3 linked regions of the Canis lupus familiaris genome follow. The protein of the gene in region 1 interacts with the protein of each later gene in a pairwise test. Links are inferred from orthologs where the notes say so. Each region holds a gene or a part of one and is shown in the gene's direction. Other genes may lie near its edges.

Region 1 (3,324 bases):
TCCGTCTCCGCAGTCTGGGCCCCGGGTGCGGAGGCTGCCGCAGCCCCGGCGGCCAGTGCCGCCTCCCGCAACCCCGATACCCATTGTCTCCCCCTCCACCCGGCCCCCACCCCCCCCCCGCAGCCATGGCGCACGAAACCGGGAGGAGCTCTCGCCTCGGGGGGCCCTGCGGGGAGCCGGCGGAGCCCGGAGGTGCGGTAGGGCCCTGCCCGGGGGGGGGGGGGGGGGGCGGAGGGCGCGCGCGGGGGGGGGCTTTCGCGGCGGGGAGGGGGAATGCTGGATTCTGTGTCCAGACCCCCGTCCGCGCGCCCGCGGTGCCCGGGTTGGGGGCGGGGGCGGGGGCGGCCGGGGCGGCAGGAGCCAGGCAGGAGCCAGGCAGGAGCCGCAGCGCGCCCGCCCCTCCCCCACCCGCCCCACGCCGGGCTGTTCCGCGTGCACCCGGTGGAGCGCGAGCCGGCGTCCCGTGCGGCCTGATGGCGAGCCCCCCCCCGGGCCCGGGGCCAGTCGGAACCCCCGCACGCCCGCCGCGCCCGCGCCACCCACGCTCTCTTGTCTCCCCCCCAGGCGACGCCAGCGAGGACGACCACCCCCAGGTCTGCGCCAAGTGCTGCGCGCAGTTCACCGACCCAGCCGAATTCCTCGCGCACCAGAATGCGTGTTCTACCGAGCCCCCTGTCATGGTGATAATCGGGGGCCAGGAGAACCCCAGCAGCTCCGCGACGTCTTCCGAGCCCCGGGCGGAGGGTCGGAGGAGCCCCCAGGTCATGGAGGCCGAGCACAGCACCCCGCCGGCCCCCGGGGGCGCCGCGCCCGCGGACCCCAGCTGGGCCCCGGAGCGGAGAGTGGAGGAGCCCGCGGGCCACTTCCTGGTCAACGCCACCGGCACGGGCGCGGGGGGCGGCGGGGGCCTGATCTTGGCCAGTCCCAAGCTGGGAGCGACCCCGCTGCCTCCCGAATCCGCCCCCGCGCCGCCCCCGCCGCCCCCGCCGCCGCCGCCGCCCCCGGGGGTGGGCAGCGGCCACCTGAACATCCCGCTGATCCTGGAGGAGCTGCGGGTGCTGCAGCAGCGCCAGATCCACCAGATGCAGATGACGGAGCAGATCTGCCGCCAGGTGCTGCTACTCGGCTCCCTGGGCCAGGCCGCGGGCACGCCCGCCAGCCCCTCCGAGCTGCCCGGGACGGGGCCCGCCGCCTCCGCGAAGCCCCTGCTGCCCCTCTTCAGCCCCATCAAGCCTGTGCAAAGCGGCAAGACGCTGGCGCCGTCCTCCTCCTCGTCGTCGTCGTCGTCCTCAGGGGCCGAAGCGCCCAAGCAGGCGTTCTTCCATCTGTACCACCCGCTGGGGGCGCAGCCCGCTTTCCCCACCGGGGGCGCCGGGCGGAGCCACAAGCCGGCCGCCGCCGCCTCCGCAGCCCTGTCCGGCAGCGCGGAGCCGCTGATGGCCTCGCCGCACCTGGCGTTCCCGGGCGCCACGGGGCTGCTGGCGGCGCAGTGCCTGGGCGCGGCTCGGGGCCTCGAGGCCGCCGCCTCCCCGGGGCTGCTGAAGCCAAAGAACGGAAGCGGTGAGCTGGGCTACGGGGAAGTGATGGGCCCCCTGGAGAAGCCCGGCGGCCGGCACAAATGCCGCTTCTGTGCTAAAGTGTTCGGTAGTGACAGTGCACTGCAGATCCATCTGCGTTCCCACACAGGTGAGCGGCCCTATAAGTGTAATGTCTGTGGCAACCGCTTTACCACGCGCGGCAACCTCAAGGTGCACTTCCACCGACATCGCGAGAAGTACCCGCACGTGCAGATGAATCCGCATCCGGTGCCCGAGCACCTGGACTACGTCCTGACCAGCAGCGGCCTGCCCTACGGTATGTCGGTGCCGCCGGAGAAGGCCGAGGAGGAGGTGGCCGCGGCGGCCGGCGGCGGGGAGCGCAAGCCCCTGGCGGCCTCCAGCGCGGCGCTCAGCGCCACCGAGAGCCTCACGCTGCTGTCCACCGGGGCGGGCGCAGCCGCCACCCCCGCGCTCCCTGCCTTCAACAAGTTCGTGCTCATGAAGGCCGTCGAGCCGAAGAGCAAGGCCGACGAAAACACGCCCCCCGGCGCCGAGGGCTCAGGCACGGCCGGGGTGGCGGAGGGGGGCCCGGCGGCCCGCCTGCAGCTGAGCAAGCTGGTGACCTCGCTGCCCAGCTGGGCGCTGCTGACCAGCCACTTCAAGTCCGCAGGCGGCTTTCCCTTCCCCTACGTGCTGGAGCCTCTGGGGGCCTCGCCGTCTGAGACGTCCAAGCTGCAGCAGCTGGTGGAGAAGATCGACCGGCAGGGGGCCGGCGCCCCGTCGTCCGCGACCTCTGGGGCGCCCCCCGCCTCGGGGCCCACGGCCTCGGCCGCCGCCTCGGGCCCCAACCAGTGCGTCATCTGCCTGCGGGTGCTGAGCTGCCCGCGCGCACTGCGCCTGCACTACGGGCAGCACGGGGGCGAGCGGCCCTTCAAGTGCAAGGTGTGCGGCCGGGCCTTCTCCACGCGGGGCAACCTGCGCGCGCACTTCGTGGGCCACAAGGCCAGCCCGGCCGCCCGCGCCCAGAACTCCTGCCCCATCTGCCAGAAGAAGTTCACCAACGCCGTGAGCCTGCAGCAGCACGTCCGCATGCACCTGGGGGGCCAGATCCCCAACGGGGCCGCCGCCCCGGACCAGGGCGCCGAGCTCCCCGCCGTTCCCGGGCCCGGCCCGCAGCCGCCGTCCCAGCAGCCGTCCCCCGAGGAGGAGCTGTCGGAGGACGAGGACGACGACGAGGACGACGACGAGGACGGGACTGACGAAGACTCCCTGGCGGGGAGAGGCTCGGAGAGCGGCGGCGAGAAGGCCATCTCGGTGCGCGGGGACTCGGAGGAGGCCTCCGGGGCCGAGGAGGACGTGGGGGCCGCGGCGGCGGTGGCGGGGCAGGCCGGGCAGGCCGGGCCGCGGCCGGAGGGCGACGAGCAGGGGGCGCAGCAGCCTTGCCTGGCCGCCCCGCCGCCGCCCGAGCGCCCCGAGGAGACGCAGCCCCCGGAGCAGGGAGGCGCGGCCGCGGCCCTGGGCGCGCAGGAGCAGGAGCGGGGCGAGGCGGAGGCGGAGGCAGCGGCGGCCCGGGAGGGGCCCCGGGAGGGGGAAGGCGGCGGCGGCGACCCTGGGGAGGAGCTGGGCGCCCCGGAGGCGCGGAGGAAGGAGGCGGGCGATGGCAGTGGCCGGAAGGCATGCGAGCTGTGCGCGCAGACCTCCCTGGAGGAGCCGCAGAAGGCCCACCCCGGGGAAGGGCCGCTCTTCACTTGTGTTTTCTGCAGGCAGAGCTTTCTCGAGCGGGCCA
Region 2 (4,827 bases), on another chromosome or scaffold:
CCCAGCCAGGCTTCTGCAGTTCTCCAATCCAGGCCAGCTCTGGAGGCTACCCCCTGTGTGGCTTTGTCTTGAGTAGATCCAGGTAAAAACTTTATGGTTGTCACTTCCACTTAGGCGGGGAGGAGGGGCTCTGCGTCCTTTCTTGGACATCTCGCCAGGGGCACAGACATTATTGGGTCCCACACAGGGTCATGCTGACTTGGTCCTTTGGGCCAGGTGGTGTCTGATGGGCATCTTTCTTGTAAAGGTACTTTCCTTTTTTTTTCTTTTTTCTTTTAAGATTTCATTTATTTATTTGACAAAGAGAGCGTGAGCGGGGGGAGGAGCAGAGAGAGAAGCAGACTCCCCACCCAGCCAGGAGCCAGACCCAGGGCTGGATCCCAGGACCCCAGGACCATGACCTGAGCCAAAGGCAGACACTTAGCCACCGAGGGGCCCAGTTAAGATACTATCCTATGCTCATAATGAACTGTAGCCTGGAGGAAGATCTTGGCACCATAAATATTTTCTTTCTTTTCTTTCTTTTCGTTCTTTCTTTTCTTTTTTTTTTTTTTTTAAGATTTTATTTATTTATTCATGAGAGACAGAGAGAGACACTGGCAGAGGAAGAAGCAGGCTCCATGCAGGGAGCCCGACGTGGGACTAGATCCCGGGGCTCCAGGATCACGCCCTGGGCTCAAGGCGGCGCTAAACCGCTGAGCCACCCGGGCTGCCCTGAAATACATTTTCTTACGTGTAGTTGGCACAGTAAAAAACATGAATTGTGGGGTGACTGGAAGAACATGGTCTCCCTAAAGCCAGGGCAGAAAAAAGGACTTAAAGGGTAATAGTAGCACGTGGAGGAGCCAGCGGATAAGAAACGGCGCTTGGTCCGCTAAAGGGGCGCAGCGACCCAGAGACCGCAGCAGCACGTGCGGCCAGCCCGGCTCCCCTCCCGGACCCCGGACCCCGGCCCCCGGCCCCCGGCCCCCGGCCCCCGGCCCCGGCCCCGGCCCCGGCCCCGGGAGGCCCCGCCCTCAGCCAGGCCCTACCCCCCGGAAGGCCGGCCTTTTGCCAGGCCCCTCCCCTCCCCTCCCCCGAAAGCCCCATCTCTCCCCGGGAGGCCCCGCCCCTCCGGCCGGCCCCGCCCCCAGCCGGGCTCCTCCCCTCCGCCCGGCCTCTCTCAGATTGGCGCCCCGCCCCCGCGCCCCCAGTCCTCCGGCCGGCCTCCGTCTGACCCGCCCCGCCCGCACTCAGGCCCCGCCCCTCCAGCCGCCCCCGCCCTCGACCGGGCCCCCTCCGCCAGGCCCCGCCCCCTAGCCGGGCTCCGACACCCTTCCCTGACAGGCCCCGCCCATCGGCAGGCCCCGTCGCCGCCGCCCGCCCCCGCCGCTCCGCCAGGCCCCGCCCCTCCATCAGGCCCCGCCCCGGTGGCAGGCTGCAGGGCGCGCGGGGGACTCCGCAGACACGGCTTTCGGACAGGTGTGGAGGGGGCGGGGGCGCCGGTGGTGGTCCGCCGCCGCTGGCGCTGCCCGGCCCGCCCCCGGCCCGCCCCCGGCCCGCCCCCGGCCCGGCCTGCAGCCCGGGCTCCTGCAGGCCCGCGGCCGCCCCGCGCGAGCGCCGGCTCTGGGATCCACTGCTCTGGCCTGGGGGCGGGGCCGGCGCGCGGCGTCATGCATATGCATGAGCGGCGCGGCGGCTCCATTGTGCCCTCGGAGCGGGCGGCGGCGCGATGGCGCGGGTGGCGGCGGCGGCGGCCCCGCGGCGGCGGGCGGCGCGGAGGGCGGGCTGAGCGCATGGAGCGGCGTGGGCCGGGGGCCTCGGCGGCGAGGGGCCGGGCTAGGCCGGGCGGAGGTGAGCGGGCCGGGTGGACAGGTGCGGGCGGCGGGGGCGGCAGGTGCGGCAGGTGCGCGCGGCGGGCAGGTGCGGCGCTCGGGGCCCGCGCTGCGGCGCCTCTGCCGGGCTCGGGCCGGGGTGGAGGCGGCCCCGCCGCCCACCTGCCGCACCTGCCGCGTGCGCGTCGTGCTCTCGGGCCCTCCGGCCGGCGCGCGGGCGGCCCTCACCTGAGCCTTTGTTGGGGTGGGCTGGAAGCCGGCCGGGCGCCCGAGGGGTGTGCGCGGCCCCGGCGACCTCCCGAGCCGGGAGGATGGCCCGGGGCCCTCGCCCCGCCTGGCCGCGCCGCCGCCACGCCGCGCTCGGGCTCGCCTCCGGGCTGGCTCTGGGCCGTGCGCGCCCACCAGCTGGGCGGCGTGGGGCCGCGGGGCCGCCCGAGGCCGGCGGAGCAGGCTGACCTTTCAGCCTCCCGCCGTTGTTTCTAAGGGGACACCCCTCGTCCCAGCCGCGCCGTCGCCGGGGCGGGAGGGTGCCCTCTCCCAGGACCCCCGTTTGCCTCTCTCCCTGCCCCGCTCTCCTTTCCCTCCTGCTTGCTCCCCTCCGGCCCGGATGCGCCCGTCCCTGCCCAGCTCTGTTCCTGATGGTTGCAGACCATCCACAGCCACGTCTGTAAGTCGGTTTCGCAGGGGCATACACGGAACGTGTGACTTGATCTGGGGGACGGTGGTGGATGCAGGGAGGGTGAGCAGACTCAGCCACCGCTTCCTGGGGAGCTAGAGCCCTCGGGCCTCCATCCAGGCTTCGTGAGAGGGGGGCCTGGCCTCCCCCAGCAGGTACTGGGCCTGAGGACTGGTCATGCCCAGGGGCTGGTTACAGGCAGGGGACAGAGGTCAGGGAGGAGGAAGGTAATGACAGGCAGGCAGGGTGCGCCTGGGGAGGACTCCAGGGACAGCCCGACTTCCTCACGAAGTGTCCACTGGCACTGCGTCCACTACAGGACTCAGGGTTTGAGCACAGAATGGCAGGTGTGTGTCCTCCGCTTTCCTAGGGTGGCTGCCACGTACCCATTGTGCACCCAGGCCCTTCGTAAGTGCTCGTTCCTGGGTGCTTTAGATGGGCTCCAGCACTTAGGCTGGTCGGTGTTGTGGCCTCACGTGGAGAGCAGCAGGACTTCCAGCCATCCAAGCATGTGAGTCCCCCCCTTGTGTCGTCCTGCCTCACTGAGCCACCATTTCCACCTTCTCCAAGCCCATCAGACTTGGGTGTCCCTCTGCTTGGACACGTGCCCTGGAAGCACAGGCTCCCTGCTGCCGGAGTGCCTGCCCCAGGACCACAGAGCAGGCGTGCCTTTCCGAGGTCAGGTGGCCTGTCATGGGGTGTGCTGCTCCTGGCTGACCAGGCGGCAGGGACGGAGGAGAGGTGCAAGAGAGCTGACCCACATTAACGTCTGCCTGTGGTTGGCACCCAGGAGACTGGGTGCAGCTGCTCCGAGGCCCTGGGAGGGGGTCTGAGTAGCGAGTTTCTGTAGCCGTCTTTCTGGGAGATGTGACCCAACCCAGAGAAAGCTCCAGGCTAACCACGTGCCAGGGCGGTTCTGCCGAGGGGTCCTGGCTTCCCGCTGGAGCTGTGGACAGCAGAGCCTCGGACCAGCAGAAGGGCCCCCGCCTCAGGCCTGCTCGGGCCTCCTTGTGCGCACGTGCACTCAGGCACACACGCACACACACACCAGGGCTTCTCCAGCTGTACCTCTCAGGCCAGGAAGTGAGAGGAGGGTCTTGCATTCAGAGCAGGGCTCTCCCTTTGTCGGGAGCAGAGGGCCATGGGGTACCCAACTTGGAGAGTGCAGGTCTCCCCAAGGAGGAGACCAGACTTAGTTTGGCAGGAAGTCACACACACACACACACACACACACACACACACACGCCCTGCACACCCAGACACCCATGCATGCAGTCAGCTCAGGGGGAACTGGAAATCTCTGTGGTCTCGTCCATAGCAGAGCAGCCTTTGGGGTGGAATTCCCCCGACCCATGTGATGTAGGAGTCGTCCTGGGGCCCCAGACCAGTAGCCTCTGCCTCCCCCACTCTCCACCTGGGGTCCCTGTAGCGGCAGCATCCTCACCCAGGCTCGTTAGGGATGCGGGTCCTCAGTTCCAGTCCTACAGTTGTGTGTGATGCGCCGGAGCTGGAGCTGGGGCCGCGGGAGTCCTCAGTGGTGCTCCCCCACCTGGCCAGGGGCTCGTCTTCCACCCACCCTTTGCTTCTGTAACCACAGAGTGGGCCTGGCCAACCCCACCAGCTTTGTTGTAGGGAAGGGTGGCCCTGGGCATTTCAGTGGAGAGAACAGGCCAAGCGGCGGCGGTTTTCTCATTAAACTTTTATTTTGAGGGAATTAAAGATTCACGTGCAGCTGAAAGAAATAACTGTGTGTCCTTTACCTGGTTACTCTAGTGGTGACATCTTATAATACGATAGGATAACGTCACACCGGGATGCTGCGTGGCTCCAGTCAAGATGCAGATACTCCCTCCCCACCTTCTGTTCACACCTGTTCCCTCCTCCCCACCTGGCAGTTGTGCTCTGCTTTTCATTCTGGGATTCCATCATTTCAGGAATGTTACATAAAGGGAATCCTACCGTGTGTAACCTTTGGGGACTGGCTTTCTCCACGCAGCGTGGTCTCTTGGGGCTTCCTGCCGCCTCCCCTCAAGCTCCCAGGCTGTGGGTGGCCCCTGAAGGGCTCGCCCCTCACCTGCAGGCCGTCCCCACTGACGCTGCCGGCAGCACACACACACACATTCCTGGGTGAACGCGTGTTTACATTTCTGGGAGATGAGTGTTCGGGAGTGAGTTTGTGGGGCCGGGCAGTAGCCGCCTGCTTAGTTTTACGAGAAGCCCCAGACTTTCCAGAGCGGCTGCACGGCAGTCCATTCCCAGTATCCCCAGGGCTGGAGCCGTCTATCCTCACTGCACTCCGTGGCGGCCTTGCTGTGCTGCGGAGCCTGGAGGGGCGGT
Region 3 (5,074 bases), on another chromosome or scaffold:
GGGATGGAGGCAGCCTACAGCTCCCTGCTCAGCGGGGAGTCTGCGTCACCCTCTCTCTTTCCCCACCCTCCTCCTGCTTGTGCTCTCTAGCTCTCTCATAAATGAATGAAATCTTCAAAAAATCTACTCTCTCAGCATGTTTCAAATATACTATGCAATACTTTGTATTATAGTCACTGCACCGTACGAGACATCCTTAGGACCTCTTTATAACTGGAGGTTTGTACCTTTTGACTGCCTTCATCTATCTCACTCAAGCAACTCTCATCCTCACCTGCCTCTGGCTACCGCCAACCCCTTCTCTGTGTCTTTATCTGAGGATTTTTTTCACCCCAGGCCCCGAGATTCCACATTTAAAGCTTTAACAGGTCTTTGCGTCCTTCCCCTCCCAGTAAGTCCTAGGATTCTTCTGTGTCCTTTCCAAAGTGCTGTCCTAGGGCAGCCCAGGTGGCCCAGCGGTTTAGCGCCACCTTCAGCCCAGGGCGTGATCCTGGAGACCCGGGATCGAGTCCGGCGTCGGGCTCCCTGCATGGAGCCTGCTTCTCCCTCTGCCTGTGTGTGTGTCTCATGAATCAACAGGTGAAGTCTTCAAAAAAAAAAAAAAAAAAAAAAAACAACAAAAAACCCAAAACCAAGCAGGAGTTAGTGACTGGCCAACATTGCTTTTATTACCTTATGCGTAGGTTTTTGGTTAACGACCAAATAACGAATGACTTAAAGTCTCGCCAGCTTAAGAATGGCTCTGATTTTAGCTAAAAAAAGATTTTCGAGGATACAATGAAAAGAAAATGGCCCGCACGACCTGCGTCGCACGTTACCCGAAACCAGCAAACACGCTCCGTGTGACAGCGAAGACCAGAGTCCAGTCTCGGAGACGCCCGGGGACGGCGGCCGCCGAGTAACCAGAGCGCCGCCCCCGGCGACCACCCTCCTCCGCGCGGGCCGCAAACCCGAAACCCGCAGGTGCCGGCGGCGTCCCGCGTCCCGGGACCGGAGAACTAGCCCCACCCACGGCGCCGGCGGCCCCCAGGCGCCCCCCACGGCCGGCGCCCCGGAGCTCGCGGAACGGGGACTCACCATGAGAAGGGTGTGGCCCGCGAGGTCGGGGACCGAGTCTCCGCAGGGGACAAACATGGTGGCACAGAGGGCGGGAGGACAGGCAAGGCCGAGCGCGGGCCCAGGAGGCCGGGGGCGGGGGCGGACCCGCGAGCGCCGCGCCAGGTCTGGCAGCGCGGTCCCCAGCGCGGGGGGCGGGGCCACGGGGCGGGGGGCGGGGCCACGGGGCGGGGGCGGGGCCCGGGCCGCCGCTCGGCGTGGGGTCCTGCGGGGCCAGTCCAGCTCCGCGCCGGTCCGCGGTGCGCGAAGGGCCGGGCGCCGGGGGAGATGGGGGCGGGCAGTGCGGGCGGAGACCCCCGCGGGGCAGGGCGGCGGGGAGCGTGGGCTGGCGCGGTGGGCGTCCCCAGGCCGGGAGCGGAGGCGGACGTGGTCAGGCACGGACGGGGGCAGCCCGCGCCCCGGCAGTCCGCGCCGTTTGAAAGCCACGGTTGAGCGCCGCCGCCGCCGCCGCCTCGGCTCCCGCCCAGCCGCGGCCCTGACGCGGCGCCGCGCCCCCCGGGAGCTGCGCGAGGCCGAGCGGTCGGCGGCTCCGCCCCGCGGCTACTGGCACCCCGGGGCCGGCCGGGCGCGCCCGAGGCGGGGGAAGCGCGGCGAGCGGCGGCCGCAGCATGTCGCTGCCTCCGGAGAAGGCCTCCGAGCTGAAGCAGCTCATCCACCAGCAGCTGAGCAAGGTGAGGGTCCGGCCCTGGCGCCGCCCGCCTGGCGTCCCGGGCGAGGCCGACGGCGGCGCGGGCGGGGGGCTCCGAGTGTGCAGCCCGGGCCGCCTCCAGCCTCGGCGAAGGGCAGCCTCAGCCGCGCTGAGGAGGAGGCGCTCACCCCGCGGCTTCGGGGTGCCAGGCCGAATACCAGCTGGGCTGCAGCAGATGTATGTTCGGAGGGTAGGAGTGAGAGTTACTTTAAGGGTGAAACTCGTGTCTTGAAGTTGAGCCAGGGGGACGTTCCTGAAGGTCTGCACGGAGAGTGCTTGCGGCCCTTCGGAGCCCAGCGAGAGCCCCGAACGCAGGGAGCTGAAGCCCTGAAAGCTGCCGTTTGCTGTGCACCTGTATGCCAGGTCCCGTGCTCAGTGTAAAGCATCTTTGACCTGAGCCTGCAGTAATCTTTTCCAGACTCATGCAGGGTAAACGGATCAACTCAGGGTCACGTCTCATAAGCTCAACGTTGAAATTCATACTCTGATCTCCTAGTCCAGGTCTGTGTTCTCTTGCGTATACTACACTCCCAATAGGCCTGTTTTCGTTGAATGTTATTTGTGGGGAAATGGTAACAAAGGTAGTAGATAGCCAGTAGAGATTATTTCTAGAATTTGTGCTAAGAGAAATTTAGGATGAAATAAAAGTCTTAGCTTTATTCTCATTGAATTCTAGCGATAATTTTACACTTACTATTAGCTTGAAAAGCCGTCTTGAATTTTGTCCACTCTCCCATTATTGTTTTTTAGATATTTATTGATTCCTGAGACACACAGAGGGAGAAGCAGGTCCGCTGCAGGGAGCCCGATGTGGCACTCGATCCGATCCCGGGACCCTGGGGTCACGCCCTGAGCGGAAGGGAGACGCTCAACCGCTGAGCCCCCCGGGTGCCCCTAGTACTCTCCCATTATTTTTTTTTTCCTTTGGGTGCTTTAGAAAGAAATTAGCTAATTGGCAATGTTTGTCAGCTTTATAAACGTGAGTTATATTGCAAGTTTTCTACATAGATGGATGTCCATGGCAGAATAAGAGAAATCCTTGCAGAGACAATACGGGAAGAATTGGCACCTGATCAACAACAGTTATCAACGGAAGATTTGATCAAAGCCCTTAGACGTCGGGGAATCATTGATGATGTGATGAAAGAACTTAATTTTGTTACTGTGAGTAGTTTGGTGGGGAAGAATTTTGAGAATATGTTCCTGGGCATAATGCTGCTTATTGGGTCCATATTTGGGGCCTGTTTTTAGTAAAATCACTTTAAAAGGCCATTTTTGTCTGGTAATATCCTTACTATAAGTTCACTCTACCCTTGAATGTAGCAAGTGGGATTATGTATCAATGAGATTGGAGTTACATACCATATTTCTCTTTACAGTGACAGAATTTTCTGTTGTTATTCCCTAGGTCTGTATCTGTAAGTATACATATTTTAGTGAAATTAGTTCACCATAACCTAGTTCTTTTTCGCAAGTAGTGTTTTATAATTTTTTTTAGATTAGGCATATTTTTTAAATACATTGTTTTAGAACTTCATTCTCTGTGATTAACAGATTATCAAATTTTTAAAGAAAATAATTGTGTAAGAACCTTCAAATCTCTTTATACAAATAGGTCGGTAGTGAGATGATAAGCCTCCGTGCACAAAATAGTAAGTGGGCCTTCTTTTGAAAATGAGGCAATAATGAGAAACTGTGACCTAATAATACATGAGTAGTATAATGTAAAAATTGGATGGAGTGCATAATACATCAGGGAATAAGTATTTTAATACAGCCTCCTTTTTTGGTTTTTGAGGTTTATAAACCCATTTGTTTGAAAATTGACCCAGTAACAGCTTCTGCTGTGTGAATGTCATTTCCTTATTAAAATCAGTTCATGGTAGAATCATAAGCCAAATGTCATATTAGGTTTAGAAAAAGTTTAACCTTGTTTAAGGTATTAAGGATTTGTTAATAGCATTCTGTGGACACTGAAGACAGTTTATTTCCTTATTAAAGTTTAGGAGTGACCAGTTCATCAACTCTTTTCATTATTTTAATTATGCTGGGAAAATAAGAGTTTCCTTGAGGGGGCTTTATCCTGTATACTTCTGTTTAGTTCTTAGTCCCACCCATTGTTGATGTTTCTTTGCTTAGCTATAATTTTTGTTTTCTAATTTGTTTTCATCTTTTTTCCCACCTTTCTAGGACAGTGTTGATCAAGAACTACCTTCCTCTCCAAAACAACCTGTTTGTTTTACTGATAGACAATCAACGTTGTTAAAAAAAAGTATGTATATTTCTTTTAACATTGATTTCGTTTTGCACCGTACTACATATTGATGTGCTGTAGTGTTTGGTATTTGATGAAAACCATTTTTTTCCTTCTCGAATGAGATTCTTACCATTTTTGTAATTAATCATCCAAAAAACTTAGATTCTGTTTTGCACCAAGTTGTGTATGTCAGAAGCTTTAGTATATCACAGAGTGGAAGCAAAAACAGAATTACCTGTTTCTCATGTTTTAATAATATGTTTTATAAACATTGTACAGCTTTGCTTTTTTAACGGTAATTGCCTAAAAAGTACACTTGCTGAGTTTATATTTGTTTGGTTTGGCTTTGGCGGTGAAGGCGTGTTATTAGATAAGCACCTGAAGAGCAAAGGTTTCTTAAGCCTTGGCTCTGACTCTTTTCTAGCTGGGAGAAAGTACCCAGAATATAAAAACTCCGATAAAAATATATCTTATTGTGTATGTTTTCTTTCTTGGTTTCAAATGGTCCTGGTATACAGTAAATTTGTTACTTTTTTAATTTAGTCTTTGGTTTTATTTCTGTCAAGTTATTATTTCCTATTGTCTTGATCACATTCCTTAAGTTGTTTGGCAGTTTCCTCATATATATTGCTACACTTTACAGCTAATATTGATCCAACACGGAGGTATCTTTACCTTCAGGTTTTGGGTGGAAAAGCTTTCTTGGAACATCTACAAGAACCTGAGCCTTTACCTGGACAAGTTTGTTCAACCTTTACTCTATGTTTACATTTTCGAAACCAACGTTTTCGTTCTAAACCTGTTCCATGTGCCTGTGAACCAGATTTTCATGATGGCTTTTTACTTGAAGTACACAGAGAAAGCTTAGGTAAGGAGCAATAATAACTTGTCATTTAATTGAGTAAATATTTGTTAGGTTTTATGGTAACATAACTTTTGCTAGAAGGAGAGTTTTATGATGATTGAATCTTCCTACTTTGCTTTTATTTTCTCCACTGCTCTTTTTTACATAA

What was found.
Region 2: the proteins of SALL2 (region 1) and ZMIZ2 interact in binary tests that used the Homo sapiens proteins (3 or more experiments, as listed by UniProt). The two-hybrid records come from large-scale screens. The link is inferred for Canis lupus familiaris from reciprocal best matches to the Homo sapiens genes SALL2 and ZMIZ2.
Region 3: the proteins of SALL2 (region 1) and CEP76 interact in binary tests that used the Homo sapiens proteins (3 or more experiments, as listed by UniProt). The two-hybrid records come from large-scale screens. The link is inferred for Canis lupus familiaris from reciprocal best matches to the Homo sapiens genes SALL2 and CEP76.

Annotation. Positions count from the first base shown.
Region 1 is NC_049236.1:18,684,744-18,688,067, reverse strand, and holds part of SALL2 (sal-like protein 2), read left to right. Parts: intron 1-112; exon of another isoform or gene 113-125; coding exon of another isoform or gene 126-192; intron 193-564; coding exon 565-3,324. UniProt on the Homo sapiens protein: Probable transcription factor that plays a role in eye development before, during, and after optic fissure closure.
Region 2 is NC_049237.1:14,026,004-14,030,830, reverse strand, and holds the start of ZMIZ2 (zinc finger MIZ domain-containing protein 2), read left to right. Parts: upstream 1-1,404; 5' UTR 1,405-1,461; intron 1,462-1,749; exon of another isoform or gene 1,750-1,833; intron 1,834-2,459; exon of another isoform or gene 2,460-2,481; intron 2,482-2,860; exon of another isoform or gene 2,861-3,001; intron 3,002-4,827. UniProt on the Homo sapiens protein: Increases ligand-dependent transcriptional activity of AR and other nuclear hormone receptors.
Region 3 is NC_049228.1:78,180,279-78,185,352, reverse strand, and holds the start of CEP76 (centrosomal protein of 76 kDa), read left to right. Parts: upstream 1-1,651; 5' UTR 1,652-1,724; coding exon 1,725-1,787; intron 1,788-2,812; coding exon 2,813-2,968; intron 2,969-3,994; coding exon 3,995-4,076; intron 4,077-4,704; coding exon 4,705-4,929; intron 4,930-5,074. Other genes in the region: PSMG2 (proteasome assembly chaperone 2), read right to left, coding at 1,078-1,134. UniProt on the Homo sapiens protein: Centrosomal protein involved in regulation of centriole duplication. Required to limit centriole duplication to once per cell cycle by preventing centriole reduplication.